Linked DNA regions of Ovis aries. The protein of the gene in region 2 purifies or fractionates together with the protein of the main gene of each other region. This does not show direct contact. Links are inferred from orthologs where the notes say so. Each region holds a gene or a part of one and is shown on either strand. Other genes may lie near its edges.

Region 1 (4,911 bases), on a different chromosome or scaffold from region 2:
GGCAGTGGGCCCGGATGCAAAGGTGGTCTGACTCCACCATCTCTGTGACCTGAACAAACGTGCTCCCCTGGGTGCACAGCACAGCTACTCTATACACTGGCTGCCCTCAGTATAATTAAAGCCCAGGGGAAGTGGGTTTAATTTCCATTTTTAGGAGCCTGAGCTCCTTCTGGGCTGGACCTGTATGCACTGGTAGGAGTAAACACTAATTCTACCATCTAGGGATCATAGTCAATTCTGAGTGGAACATGTCAACAAACCAAAGACTGTTTGGAAAAAGAAGAAAAAAAAAAAGGCGGCACGCTGTGAATGTCTAAAAAAGAACTGTGTCATCAGTTCATCAATGTAAACAATCTGTCCTCCTCAGAGGGCGGCAGTGCTTTCTGTCAGGAAGGCACAAACAACTGAAGAGGGATCTGTAGGACTTAAGCCATGAAAATGATGGAAAACAGAGTCAAGAAATCGTGACTTTAAGCCTGAGAAACAGACGCTGAAGGAAACTATTCGACTCTGTTTGAGAAGTGGAATTACACTATGATTAACCGCCCTATATTCCCAGAAAATTCACATGTGGCTTTAACGTGACTCACTCGGGAATGGAACTAGATACACGGAAGGACTCTATATATTCTGAGACGTAGAAGTGAACGACTAAGAGAGGCACTGCCCAGGGCCCTGGAGATGCTCTATAGCTCTCCAAGATGAACCTCAGGCCCTTCCCACACCAAGGCATGGGGCTGACCTGCTGCCCACCAGAGTTCCTAGAGGCCTCAGAAAATATTTACGCACAGTTGGCACCATTTCCCCAACAGATGCTAAGTTCTCAGCACAACCTTTATTTAGGTCTTTCTACTTCTGAAAGGAAACCAAGAAGGCCACTCCACTTACATTTTTTAGGAACTCCTCAGCCACAATGCGTGCACGGGCATTGACAGACAGCTTCATCTCACTAATTTCTTTGTCAATTTCCTCCATGAAGTGGATCACAAAGTCCACCAACTTGTGCTTATACATCTGCTCTGTGTGGAAGTTGGTGATCAGAAAGCTGATGTCATACCCCTAGGGAAGAAAGACAGTGGAGAGGAGAGAGAGAATCAACATCCTGGGGAACTTCACTGGCCAGCCCTCTATGTCACTCAGCCACATGCTTCCAGCTGACCTTCTCCCAAGTGACACACCCTTCAGGCAGCAGCCCATCTGCTCTGGTGGCGGTGTGTATGCTGGTTCCAAGGAACTAACAGGTGGATCAACTGATCCCAATTGAGAATTTTGTCTGGCAGACTCTCTGTGGTATAAACAGTTGTGTTCAGAATGAATCAAGGGAGAGTGAAAGGACTTTAAATCTTGTTATAGAAGAATCTCATCAAACAACAGGAACATTTAGTCCAGAGAGAAATGAAGATGCTGTGGGAGAAGGAGGTATTGAGGTTTTTAACTATGGTTTTTCACTTTTTCAGACTGTGTGTAGAAGAGCAATTTTATTTATTCTTAGTGGCCCTGGAGGTTAGATCTAGGAACAGGAGAGATTTTAGCTCAGGATGAGGGTGAGTTTGGCCAACAACTAATGTGTCTGACAATGGTGTCCGCTGCTCTGCATGGTAGTTGCTTAGTCACTGACCGGCAGGGAGTTGAGCAGGCAGAGAATCTGTAGTGAGAGCTCAAGTACAAAGTCAGGCAACAAGTGACCCCATATCAACTGTGGCCTTGAGAGACTGACTCAATTGGTGGCAAAGTTTAGAATTCTGATTCATCATGCCCTTTCTGCCACTACACTATAGGCTCTGGGAAGGTCAGCAATGCACCTCATCTTTTTTGGCCTTTTCCACAGCTGAGACAGACTCAACCTCCTATAAGCTGATTCCCCTTATTCTTACTCTAGCCGAAATGAAGACCAACTCTCAACTCAGGCTGTGGGTGCCCTACAGCGTGGGGAGCAAGCAATCCCAGTTTTAGAAACAATCCCAGGCCACTGACAGTGGACTCAGTAGTGGAATTCTGGGTATTACCAACACATGGATCACACACCTCCACTGGTTTCCTTCGGAGGATAAAGAAGTTCTCTGCTCGCATCATCATGAAGCGCATGAACTTGTGACACAGAATCTTCTCGATTTCATCAGCCTGGTAAGAACAAAGAAGAAATGTGTTTCCCTAAAGTCATTCCCTAAAGGCCAACAGAAATTTGTAGCCTGGTCTTCGGAGCCCAAATTCCCCTATGCTCGCTGGAGACACTGGGGTTGGGTATTGAAGTCTGAATCACAAATAACTGGTTGCCAGCTAAAAGGAAGGTCCACTACATGAGAGCCCTCCAACTTAATGGGGCATTATCATGATCTTGCCTTTACCCATTCCAGAAAGGTAACTCTGACAAACCCAAATCTTATTTTTTTTTAACTTCAAAACACATTTTGGCTACATCGTGTGGCATGCAGGATCTTAGTTCCCAGACCAGGGATCAAACCCAAGTCCCCTGTAGTAGAAGCCCAGAATCTTAACCACTGAACCACTAGGGAAGTCCTGGCAAGCCCCAATCTTTTATCCAATCCTTCCAGAATCCATATCTAGATTCAAATCTGCCCTTTCCAGTCTCATTTCACTAATGCTACATCTTCCAGTCAGTGATACACACTATGAAGTATATCAGATAACCTTAGATGGTCTCCACTTTAGTAACAATGAACATCAAACAATTCCCAAAGTTTTCCCCTAATGAACTCTCAACATTTCTGATGAAAGAATTTTGTATTACGGGCTGGCAAGACCTTAACAGCCCCCAATATTTATTCATCTCCCCTTTTAACAAAGAGCAGGCACTAGGGATAGAGCTTTCTGGAGGCAAAAGTCTTAACTCTGCTTTATTTTCAATGTGCTTGCATTTTAGTGTTGTCCTCAATTTGGCAAGGCATATTGTTTTTCTTTTTATGGTAAATTTAAGTAAAAAAAAAAAAAGTTAATTGAAAGAAAATATTAAGTAAAGAAGTAGCCAAGTGGTCCATAAACATGGAAGAAACGATGGGGGTAGTGGGAATGTCAGACATTTGTGAAACAATGAAGAAACATGAAACTACACTTCATTTTCTTACCCTAAATCTCACTTTTGGAGTTTATGGCTATCAAACTGATACCATTACTACTTGTTTGTCTGAACTGAACTTATTCTTCACTCATTAGGAAGAGTTTTATGACCTGACACCAAACTGGCCCACAGCCCTGGCTGCTACATTACCTGCTGTCTAATCCAGAGCAAGCCTAGGAGAGAAGGCTGATTTCCCTTTATTCTACTGATCTGGTAGGTTTAGCAAATCATTTCCTGGAAAGAGAACCTGGGTTTCTTTGCACCCTGAATCTGGCATGTTGACCTCTTACATAGGGGATCCCTGGCCTCCCCGGGGAGGCAGGGGATCTGGGGTGAGCTCACCTGTTTCACAGCAATGCTGACCCTGACAGAGTTGATGGAACCTTCAATCAGAACCTTTTCCTTTTCATTCCTGCTGATGGTCACGGGTTGTAGCAGGAGCTCTTTGCTACTCCTGAGAACACAAAATGACAGAGGTACTATAAAAGAACAGAATGGTCAGGGAGGCTCCACGGCAGGTTCTAGAATCACAATCTGGGACCACAGAGTCCAAGGAATGAGACTCACAAGCAGGGGTGCTCCAAGATGGGGGCCAGAGAGCATGTTCTCCAGCAGAAAGAGCACAGGCTCTGGAGTCAGGGTGAAAGGTTCTGAAATTCAGCCTCCTTTGTTACTTCCATTGGGCAAGTTACCCTGTTGGAATTTCAACTTCCTCATTTGGAAACAGATCAACAAGGGTCAAGTGTGTAACAGTGAGCTGGCACATTGTAGGAGCTTTACAAATGACAACTCCTATTTTCATAACTATAGGGAAACCCATATACTGTTTAGGGAATGAGAGCCTGCCTTAGAGATAAGGCCAAGCTAAAATCAAACAGTTTGGCCTCCTTTAATAATCAAAATTATGACCCCTCTCAACTCAGTTCCCATTTTGATGCCTCTGGATCCCTCAGACGGTAGTTAATTGTATTGTTGGTGTCTGTGAGCTATTATCCTTTAAAATGCCTAGTGGAAACCATATACATTAAGTAGCATAACAGGGCACATTTTAACATGATGTCAGCTTTCTTACATTCAAATCGTATCAATTTACTGTGGTAACAATCCTTATCTCAGTTGTATATGTACCAGATTAAACATCAAAGGGGAAAAAGAAAAACTTTTTTACAAAACAAAAATCAGATAAAATAATCCAAAGTATAGAATATTTGTAGTAGGGGATGGGAGTCCAGTTGTTTATTTGTTTTTTGAGGGGAGGGATCCTTGATCTTCAAATTTGAGAAGAGCAGAGATGGCATCTCAGATAATTCAGTTCTCAAGTCTTCTCCTTAAATTGCTAGAGGGTTCACTACCTCCTTGGGAGATATTTCCCAAATGGCCCTATGTTGAAAAGTCACAACTTGTGTCAAGCAAATCTTGGCTCCAGAGTAGCTTCTCCCCTGAGTTTTGTCCTGTCAACCCACTGAGACCCAATTTTCTGAACTTCAAATTGGGAACCATCATTTACCTGGCAGCAAGACAAAAAATGTGAATTGTAGTCGTTCTGACAACTCCAGGATGGAAGTTCACGGCCCTCTCCGATAACAGTCCTCTCTGGGTGCTACATCCATCACCCCCTACCCCCTTTCCTCCCATACCTGACTTCTACTTCCGGCTTGTTGTGTCGTTCCACGACCTGGGAGGAGAAATTCTCCAAGCAGAGGGCAGCCTGCAGTGTGGCCCGCACGGCACTCAGGTAGGGGCGGAGAGTGGCAGTCTGGAGGAAAACCCCAAGGGACAATCAAAATCTGTCTCACAAAATCCACTGATCCCATAGTCCAGCTACACAGGAGCCA
Region 2 (4,911 bases):
CATTATGCAGGGTTAAAATTGTCCAATTTAAAATTCAGCTGGCCAGATAAGAATAAAGATACAAGAAGACTTAAAAACTTCCGGTTAACTGAGTCCTATTTCCAAACATTTACATCATCGCCACTCCAAGAATAATATTTCACCAGTATGTTGGCCTTTAACAAATCCTACAAGCCCCCGGTGCGCCAGGAAGGTCTGCACACTGATGTTAAGAACCTATTCTAAGAATGCTGGGCCTCGCTGTGGGATGAAACCCGAGCGCCTCCCCCAGGCGGCTGATACCTTATACAGCGGACGGCGAACGTCGATGGGGCAGTTCTGTATGACTTCATCAACAACCTCCGAGATGGACTCCATGAAATCCGGGTTGGCAAACTGAATTTTGTCCAAACATAAAAGAAACATTACACACTTCTCTCAATAACTTTTTTTTAAGTGACTCTAATAAATACAGAATGTATTGTAACTTTTAAAACCGTCAGGCTGCAATGACCACGTCAAATATTGGTATGTCAAACAAACCCAAGTGAGTGTGCATGGGGTGACTGACGGTGACTCGTCCCGGTGACACGTGTGGGCTCACTGAGGGGAAAACATCACACAGGAGCCAAGAGCGCCCGGCCGTGCATCAGGGGACACTGGGAATCCTGCTGCCCGAGACAGTAAGTCACATGTGTGTGACGTGTGTGATGTTATGGAAATACTGTGAGTACAGAACAAGTGTATCACTTATGAGTATTAATGTCATCTAACAATCAGCCCAGGATACAAGAGAAAACACAGCCAGTGAACAGTCACACTGTAAACCTGAGCCAGAAGCCTGGCGGAGGCGCAAGGGCGACGGCTCGAAGGGGTGGCTTTTTAATGAAACTATGGTAAAGGTCACGTCACTGCGTAAACAGTCTTTGACTCAGTTCTGTAAGTCAAATAAGGTAAAGTGTAAAAGAATTCAATTTTAAAAATTTGAACTATGCTTTAAAGATCAAGGACACCTTTAGTGAACTCAGGAAGGTAACACGGGGTGCCCTCCAGCTGTTCACTGGCCATGGTCAGTTTCGTGCCTGTTTTAAATCTATAATATCAAAAGGCACGAATGAGGGTTAAGATTGTGATGAGGCAATACTGTGAGCCATCTCCCTGCACGAAAGGTCACACACACCTGGAGACAGGCAGCAGCGTGTAACCGACCTAGCAAAAGCAAACTGCATTAGAAAAATAAACCAAAATACGAATACAACCCATTTTATTACATCTTAAAATGCTGTCTCTCCATTACTGTACCTGCAAGAGTTAATAATAACTCTGTGACTATAGTTAACACAGCGAGGCCTGTAATTCCTAAAGCCCGTCTAACTGCTGGAAAGGCTGCTGCTCAGACAGGAGCTCTAACTTTAATTTGCAGCAGGAAACACGGCAGGACCCACCGTCTGGGGTTCAAAACTGGAGTTGGGGCGGACGTTCACAAAGCATGGAAAGGTCACGTGCCCTCCTACACCCACACTGAGGGTCTGCTGGGATCAACCAATTTTCTGGTTACTGTGAGAGCAACTCCATCTCCACTATCTTCTATTGCTCTTAATCTTCTGATTAAGCGTCTTCCTAATCACTTGTTATCTATCTTTTCAACAGAGAGCCAGGTCTAAAGAGGGCAGCAGTCAAGGAGGTGATCACACAGGGTGCTCTAACAGCTGCTGAGGGTGGGGCGGGCGCCCGGCGGTCCTCACAGGAAGGCGGCCCGAGGACTGCTGCCTACAGACACCAGGGGGCAGCATCGCTCCACCACACACGCACACTTCGCTCTCCGAAAGCCCGCCTCTTTACCTCCGGGTGAAAGAAAATCTCAGGGCCCAGGAACCTTTCGTAGCCGACATCTATGACGAACTTCTTCTGGTTGATGGCGTTGATCCCTGTGTACTGTTTGATCCACTTCCGAGGATCCACGTCGTACTTGGCGAACTCCTTGACTATATCAGGGCAGATGTAGCAGTATTTCTCCTGCAGACAGACACACACACACACAACGTCACCAGAGTCTGCCTCTGACCAAGACCCAGTAACCCCCAGCCCTGGACACCCCGAAACCAGTCCTGCCTGCTCATCACAACTCCAGTGCGGACGCGGCCAGGCCTCACAGACTCTTCATGACTCTGCTCTGGACTGTGAGTGAACCTGCTTGCTTTGCAGCTCAGCTACGCATCTTAGCCTTTCCCTCATATTCTGCTGCTGATCAGCTGAAGTACTGTCTGACTAAGTATCTTGTACTAAGTATCTTGTCTCCATCTCCTGTCTCCTTATTCCTCGTGGGCCCCACACGGCACCTGCCCGGGCACTCACAGCCGTCCACCCTGACCAGCAGACCTGCGCTGCAGCCCCACACTGAGCACGGCTGACTTCACCCGGATGCCGAACACGGCTGATCCCGGGTCGTGAACCTGCTGTGCAGTCTGACACGGGAGGGCCACCAACTCCACAACATGGACACACTGGACTCACAACAAAACACACACACACCGCTGCCCACTGGAGCACACACTCCAGCGCAGTCAGGAGAGTAAGCAACGACCGGGGCGAACAAGCAGACCACACGGCACCTTACAAGGCGCCAGGTGCCACGGATGAAAGAAGAGGCCGACGGGCAGGACGGAGCGGCCGCGCACTGCGGCCTGAGAACCGCTCCTGGTTTTCACCCGGACACCAGCACCAGCCTGAGATGTGCCCAGTGTCTCCCTGGCGTCTGGTGGTGCTCCCCTGGGGATCTCTGGTCAATCACCTGTCCTGAGAGCTGACCTCAGCAGAGCAGCAGGTGGCTCTTGGGTACCAGATCCTGAAATAAAGCTCCCTGTGGGCAACGTGGGCTGTGTTCACCACCAGGCGCAGAGCTCATGCTCACCGCACATTCTAGGGCCTCTGAAGGTGGCTTCACGATAGTAAGTTTGAAGTGTCCTAGAATCCCTGAAACAGACCCTAATGCCATCCTTGATACACTCTGTCAAATTATGAGCTCCACAACACTGTGCTCGTTAATATCACAGTGAGTCCGCGCGACTGCCAGTCTGCAGACTGCAGAAACATGCCGCTGCCCTGGAGGCCTGCTCAGCTTCTCAGGGCACTGCAGCTGCTCCAAGTGACGGCACGAACACCTCAGTGACGCTGCACGGGGCACGACCGTGTCTGCACTAAGCTCTGGACCCCTGGAGGCCTGCTCCGCTTCTCAGGGCACCTCAACTGCTCCAAGCGACGGCACGAACACCTCAGTGACGCTGCACGGGGCACGGCCGTGTCTGCACTAAGCTCTGGACCCCTGGAGGCCTGCTCCGCTTCTCAGGGCACCTCAACTGCTCCAAGTGACAGCACGAACACCTCAGTGACGCTGCACGGGGCACGGCCGTGTCTGCACTAAGCTCTGGACCCCTGGAGGCCTGCTCCGCTTCTCAGGGCACCTCAACTGCTCCAAGTGACGGCACGAACACCTCAGTGACGCTGCACGGGGCACAGCCGTGTCTGCACTAAGCTCTGGACCCCCGCTGCCAGGCCCGTGAGTGCCAGGCCCACCAGCCTCAGGCCTGCGGAGACCACCCCTGTGGGGTGCAGGGGCCGCACCACCTTTCCAGGACACCCCTGCCCCGGTCTCAGGGAGGAGTGAGCGGAGGACTAACCACAGGCCAGGCAGCTGGCTGGAGGGACAAGGGTCTCTCGGCCACAGCTAAGCCACACACTGTGCGGCCTGAACACACCAGATTCAGGGTCAGGGTCAGCACTAGGCTCCAGAAGGCCCACGACAAAGGAAAGGCCACCACCACAGGGACCCGGAAAGCAGCCCCCTAGTCACCACTCAGGGCTCTGCTCCCCCACATCCACCCCGAGGGCCGGTCACATGCGTGACAGAGGCGGCGGGGAGGGGACAAGAAGAAAGGCGGGGAAAGGAGGGCAAATGGGGGAGGTTTCAGTCTAAAAGGACACTTCCGTGAGCTTCCCAGGGGGAGAGGGCGGATCTGGGGTTGGGCCAGGGCTGCAAGTTTGGCTCTGAGGCGCCCCCTCCCTGGAAGCTCCTGTCTTGGACACCCAGGGCAGCAGGGGCCCCTCCTTGCAGGAGCCCCAGCCCCAGAACACCTGTGCTCAGCTCACCGAGGGCGGGGAAACAAGGGAGTGCCCCCTTGCTCCCTTTCCTTCAAGCCCCCTACTGGGTGCTTAGTGGGGGACAGGCAGGGGAGGCTGAACTCCCTGAGGTTCAGATGCTGTGTGCTCTATGAGAAGGGGAGACGCCCGGGGCCCCCTGTCGCCCCCGCACTTAAATGCTTCTCTATAAGCAAAACCCTTGCTCTTCATCTGTATGATAATCGCCCTTGTGTTATGAAGACCCTCTTGCATTTTGGCTATAATAAAAAACAGTAATTTGTCCTGATTTTCAGTAATTTGTCCTGATTTTCAACCTGGAAAGAAAGCTCCTTTAAAAAGGGTCTATCAGCTGCTACATACAGAGAAACACAAAGACCAGACTGATGAGCCCGGTCCAGCGGGCACTTTTAGAAAGGCTCGGTAGGACGTTTTTCTTCTCATCTTACTGATTTGATCTTTAAGGCCCTCAGAAACCTTTCCAGCACGGTCATTACAGTCTAGAAACGACAGGGGGCGGGGTGGAGGGGCGCCATCGATGACCCCACCCTGGAACAGCATCACTCTGAGCTGTAATTCACAGGGCTCAGAACCACACTCTACAGGTGCTGGAAATGCGTCTGAATGCTGGCTGACTTCACTAGACTCCTGACGTCACTGCTGCTGCTCTCTAAGCTACAGATGAACTTGGAGGGCGGGGAAGCAGACACGCTCAGCTACCTGAAGTTCTAACCTAATTAGGCTCCTTGAAATGATGCTGGCCTGGGTCTGGGGCTCAACCCCGGCCACCAAGCTGCC
Region 3 (4,911 bases), on a different chromosome or scaffold from region 2:
AAGCCTCTAGAACCATCTCTGTAGAGTTCCTAGCAATAGCCTATACCAGAGAGGACTTTATGCCATGAGCTCTGGTGGAGAGAATGGCGCAGAGCGCCGGTGCCGAGGCTGCTCTCACTCACCTTCGAGCACTTGATGTGGTAGTGCAGGTAGTCCCGGAACGTGTGGATCAGGTTGATGGTGTTGTCTCGAGCACTGGCGTTGGTATGGCGAGGGAACAGCACTGAGTGGGGGCACAGACAAGGTGTCAAGGTCTAATTACACCAATGCCAAAGGGTGGAAAGACCAGCAGCCTACTGTCAGCTCCCATCTTGCCCTGCTTTGGGACCGTCCACTTGTTTCATTAGGGTTTTCTGCCAGTAAGTGTAAATGGAGGAGACCATGGCCAAAAACCAGGGCTCCCTCGGCAAAGGGCTTGGTCCTGGCGTTCATTCCGGGTCTGGATTCTCCGGCCGTGCACTGTGAAATCTACTAGCTTCTGCCTCTCAGAAGTCTCTCTAGAAAACGACACAACTGGCTACCTGGGTGGACTCTGGAGCAATGGGGATTAGAGAACAAAGCCTGCCTGTTGCAGGACCTTGGTGCCGAAGCAGAGTAAGCTTTCAGAGAAACTAGATCCATAGAGGATCATGTAGTCTGTGGTGAACACCAAACAGGAAGGGACAAGAACCTGAGCATTCCTGAGGAGGAATGGCAGGATGAGTTGCTTTGGCTGGGGGCTGAGAAAAGCCCTTGCCACTGCCTGACCCCATGAAGTCCTGTGCAGTCAGTCACTCAGTTTCACACCTGGGCAGACCTGCACGCCTCTCCCTCTGGCTTCTGGGAATCCCCTCTATCTTCTGCATCTATCCTACTCAGTGATCTCGGCATCAGCAAAGTTCTTGAGCATCAGGTTTTGTTGAAACGAAAAGAAATGCCACCTAGGAAAGGGTGGGACCGCTGTGGGTCCACCTGCCCTCAAGAGAAGAGAGCACCAGGCCAGGGGGTAACCGCACTGCAGGGGCTCTGCTGATGACTGTAAGTTCACCATCAGTTTACGTACCACAAAGAGAGACCAAGAGAGACAAGAGGAGAGAGCACCAGGCCAGGGGGTAACCGCACTGCAGGGGCTCTGCGATGCTAATGACTGTAAGTTCACCATCAGTTTACGTACCACAAAGAGAGACCAAGAGAGACAAGAGGAGAGAGCACCAGGCCAGGGGGTAACCGCACTGCAGGGGCTCTGCGATGCTAATGACTGTAAGTTCACCATCAGTTTACGTACCACAAAGAGAGACCAAGAGAGACAAGAGAAGAGAGCACCAGGCCAGGGGGTAACTGCACTGCAGGGGCTCTGAGATGCTAATGACTGTAAGTTCACCATCAGTTTACGTACCACAAAGAGAGACAAGAGAAGAGAGCACCAGGCCAGGGGGGGTAACTGCACTGCAGGGGTTCTGAGATGCTAATGACTGTAAGTTCACCATCAGTTTATGTACCACAAAGAGAGACAAAGAGAAACAAAGAGAGACAAGAGAAGAGAGCACCAGGCCAGGAGGTAACTATACTGCAGAGGTTCTGCTAATGACTGTAAGTTCACCATCAGTTTACGTACCACAAAGAGAGACAAAGAGAAACAAAGAGAGACAAGAGAAAAGAGCACCAGGCCAGGAGGTAACTATACTGCAGGGGTTCTGAGATGCTAATGACTGTAAGTTCACCATCAGTTTATGTACCACAAAGAGAGACATTGCTAATTAAACTGTTAACAGGCTGTCCCAACCTCAGAGAGAGTAACGTGCCAAAAAAAAAAAAAAAAAAAAAAGCATGTAGACTAGACTTAAGGAAACCTGGTTAATCAGCCTGCTTATTTCCGATAAACGGATGCGTCTTCAGCACTATGGTGGCTTGCAGAACTCCAGAAAAGGGGACATCTTAGTGCTGTCAGGGTCAGTGTGTGTGTAAGCTGCGATTCTAAACTGTCAGCTGTTACCAATGAACCAGCTCACTAGGCTGAAGCAAACTGTGAGAGGGGTGGATGTCAATCTTTCCAGAGGGAAAGTGGGTAAGTAAATCACGGCTGGAGCTCTGGTCTAATGAGCAAAAAAACCCAATAGGCGCCAAAGGACAGAGAACCCCAACTAGCTGCTTAGCAGGGCTTATGTGGCCCTAACCCCTCCTACTTCACTCCAGGGGCTATCCTTTTTTTCCCTGAGGATTTAGATAAAACAGGGAAAAAAGGAAAATGATTACTGTATAAAAATACAAACAGCACATGACTTGTATTAGTGCCCCACGACATGCCTCCTACAGTCATGGCACCGGCAACAGGAACACTCTGGCACACCTGCTTTTGCCACTCAGCCCCATTTCAACTGCAGTATGAACCCACCAAGGTGTGCAAATGCAGCAACCCCGCCCAGCTCACCGAAGGTAATGTAGCCGATGTTGTCACCCACGGCGGCATCGGTATCTTTCAGCTCTAGGGGAGGTTCCCTGTGGCTGAAGAGGACCTGTGGGGCTGTGTGGCTGGCTCTGCGTCCTTCTTTGAACTCCTGCCAGGATGAAGCAAAAAGCAACCAGAAGAGAATCTGGTGTGAGATGAACAGCAAGAGCAGCAACCTATGCTCTGGGGTTTGCCCTGTGGATGTGACCTCTGAGCCCTCTGACCGGCAGAGGCTAAAAATAAATGACACCTAATATGAAGTACTGGTCTTCCCTGGTAGCTCAGCTGGTAAAGAATCCACCTGCAATGCAGGAGACCCTGGTTCGATTCCAGGCTCAGGAAGATCCCCTGGAGAACGGATAGGCTACCCACTCCAGTATTCTTGGGCTTCCCTGGTGGCTCAGACGGTAAAGAATCCACCAGCAATGCGGGAGACCTGGGTTCAGTCCCTGGGTTGGGAAGATTCCCCTGGAGGAGGTCATGGCAACCCACTCCAGTATTCTTGCCTGGAGAAGCCCCATGGACAGAGGAGCCCGGTGGGGTACAGTCCATGGGGTCGCAGAGGGTCAGACATGACTGAGCGACTCAGCACAGCACAACGTGAAATATTACCAGTGTTGGCTGCCATCAGTGTACTTCAGATTCAAAGAGGAGAGATCACAAAGTACTTAACAAGTCCGATTTTCAAAGAGCAAAGAAAAGCACTGTTAATCCTCTTCTTTTGTTTTGGAAAAATATGCATGATAAAACTACTTCTAAGGCTAAATAGACAACAAATTGCAAAGCACTCAGAGAACCAGATTACGTTCAGGATAAGGATGACAGTTTATTAGTTTCTTTTGATTTAATATGAAAGGAGGTTATATTTTTCAGGAAATTTGATTAAGATGTCAAGTGGAGCTCAAGTAAGAGCTCACCCTTGACAAAATCTATCCACCCTCAGCAAACTACAGAAAAATGCCTAAGGATGTCAAAACCAAGCCATTCTTCCCCGTCCTAACCTCCACATCTCAAGCTTTCCTAACTCATACATTCCTGTATGAACAGGTAAGTGATACGAGGCATCCCCATTTCAACCCAGATCTGTAATAACAGGACTGGACTTTCCAGCAATGCCAGTAAAACCTACGGTTTAAACTCTCTGAAGGACAGAAGGATGGAACCAAAAGTTTTCCAAGGTCCCTGAGTTTTCTGAGAGTACTGAGAGCAAGTTATACAGCCCTTCAGTATACAACTTTCTTTCTACTGCTGCCCAGATATAACGCTCTCTCCAACAGCCTGGGCACAGCTAGTTGCTCTCCTGTGGGAGTTCCCATGGCTTTTCTGCAAACCTCTACTGTAATATTTCACTAGTCATTAATGCATCTGGCTTCCCTACCAGGTTTTAAGCTCCTCAAGTCAAGGATTCTTTTATTCATTGCTGTATCTAGTCCTCTGCCCTTCAAAGAGACTGTCTAGCACAAGAATGAGAAAGAAAGTACCACGTCCCTAGCTGAAAGTGTCAGCACACTGTAAAGGAAGGAGCAGGGACTGCACTTCACCCGCAGCAGGAGGATACACACGGACGGGCAAGCCCTCAGTAGCAGATATGTGAAGGAAGGATACCACCTGAGGAGGTCTAATGCCCAGTCGGGGAGCTCGTCTGTTTCACCCCCTGCCTTCTGAACTCCTTGTGTAGCTTCCAAAGGTTGGTGGGAAATAACATCACTGGGTTAGGTGAGCTCCCCTCTGAACTTTGATCCCCAAAGGAAAAACATCTGAAGAGGGAGGAAAGGATCCAAGATAATTCAAAACGAAAATCCTTAAAGCAACGCTGCTGAAATTGCCTTTCTCTAGAAAATACCTTTCATTCTGCAACTGGGTTGGGACGTTCTCTAACTTCTATCAGTCTCCCTCTTTTAGTCCCCGGCGGGAAGAACAGATAAAAACTGCCTGCCAGCACTTTCTTGTGCTTCATAAGTTTCTTGAACGCTCCAGTTCACTGGTACATGTGGCGTTCACAACCAGATGGAGTATCTATAAACCTGTGGTGACTTGGCAGCATTTCTCAGTTTTGTACATGGAGAGTGATACATTTCAGAGTTGGTTAACAATATACTGACTCGGGGCTGTAATTCAGGCAATCTCCTGCCTTTGTTTCTCCTTGGTTTTTCTCTCTTACACAACACTTAAAAGGCAGTAAACCCACCAACCCAGCAGCTTTTTGCCTTAGAGTCTTTGTTACATATGTATCAGCAATACTGCCTCTTTTTTCTTCTCTTTTTTCTCTCTGCGGCATCACAATATCATTTCTTTCTTCCATCAAAGCACAACTGACCACAGAAGCTCAGAATAAACCCAAATATATACAGAAATTAAGCCTATGATAAAGGCAGCATCTTAAACCAGTAATGTAGCTGCCACTGGGACAGGCAGTAGTCACTTAGAAAAAAAGATGGCTCTACCTTTCATATCATGCACCAAGAGAAACTACACATAAGTAGTCA

The links.
Region 1: the proteins of ACTR3B (region 2) and ARPC4 purify together in Homo sapiens (affinity purification with mass spectrometry; 5 studies listed by BioGRID and IntAct, counting the BioPlex papers as one, with this or other methods). This does not show direct contact. The link is inferred for Ovis aries from reciprocal best matches to the Homo sapiens genes ACTR3B and ARPC4.
Region 3: the proteins of ACTR3B (region 2) and ARPC2 purify together in Homo sapiens (affinity purification with mass spectrometry; 6 studies listed by BioGRID and IntAct, counting the BioPlex papers as one, with this or other methods). This does not show direct contact. The link is inferred for Ovis aries from reciprocal best matches to the Homo sapiens genes ACTR3B and ARPC2.

What each region holds. Positions count from the first base shown.
Region 1 is NC_056072.1:16,888,095-16,893,005, forward strand, and holds part of ARPC4 (actin-related protein 2/3 complex subunit 4), read right to left. Parts: intron 4,833-4,911; coding exon 4,714-4,832; intron 3,531-4,713; coding exon 3,419-3,530; intron 2,122-3,418; coding exon 2,026-2,121; intron 1,060-2,025; coding exon 850-1,059; 3' UTR 1-849. UniProt on the Homo sapiens protein: Actin-binding component of the Arp2/3 complex, a multiprotein complex that mediates actin polymerization upon stimulation by nucleation-promoting factor (NPF).
Region 2 is NC_056057.1:116,774,365-116,779,275, reverse strand, and holds part of ACTR3B (actin-related protein 3B), read right to left. Parts: intron 1,996-4,911; coding exon 1,822-1,995; intron 376-1,821; coding exon 283-375; intron 1-282. UniProt on the Homo sapiens protein: Plays a role in the organization of the actin cytoskeleton.
Region 3 is NC_056055.1:220,286,698-220,291,608, reverse strand, and holds part of ARPC2 (actin-related protein 2/3 complex subunit 2), read right to left. Parts: intron 2,535-4,911; coding exon 2,408-2,534; intron 224-2,407; coding exon 123-223; intron 1-122. UniProt on the Homo sapiens protein: Actin-binding component of the Arp2/3 complex, a multiprotein complex that mediates actin polymerization upon stimulation by nucleation-promoting factor (NPF).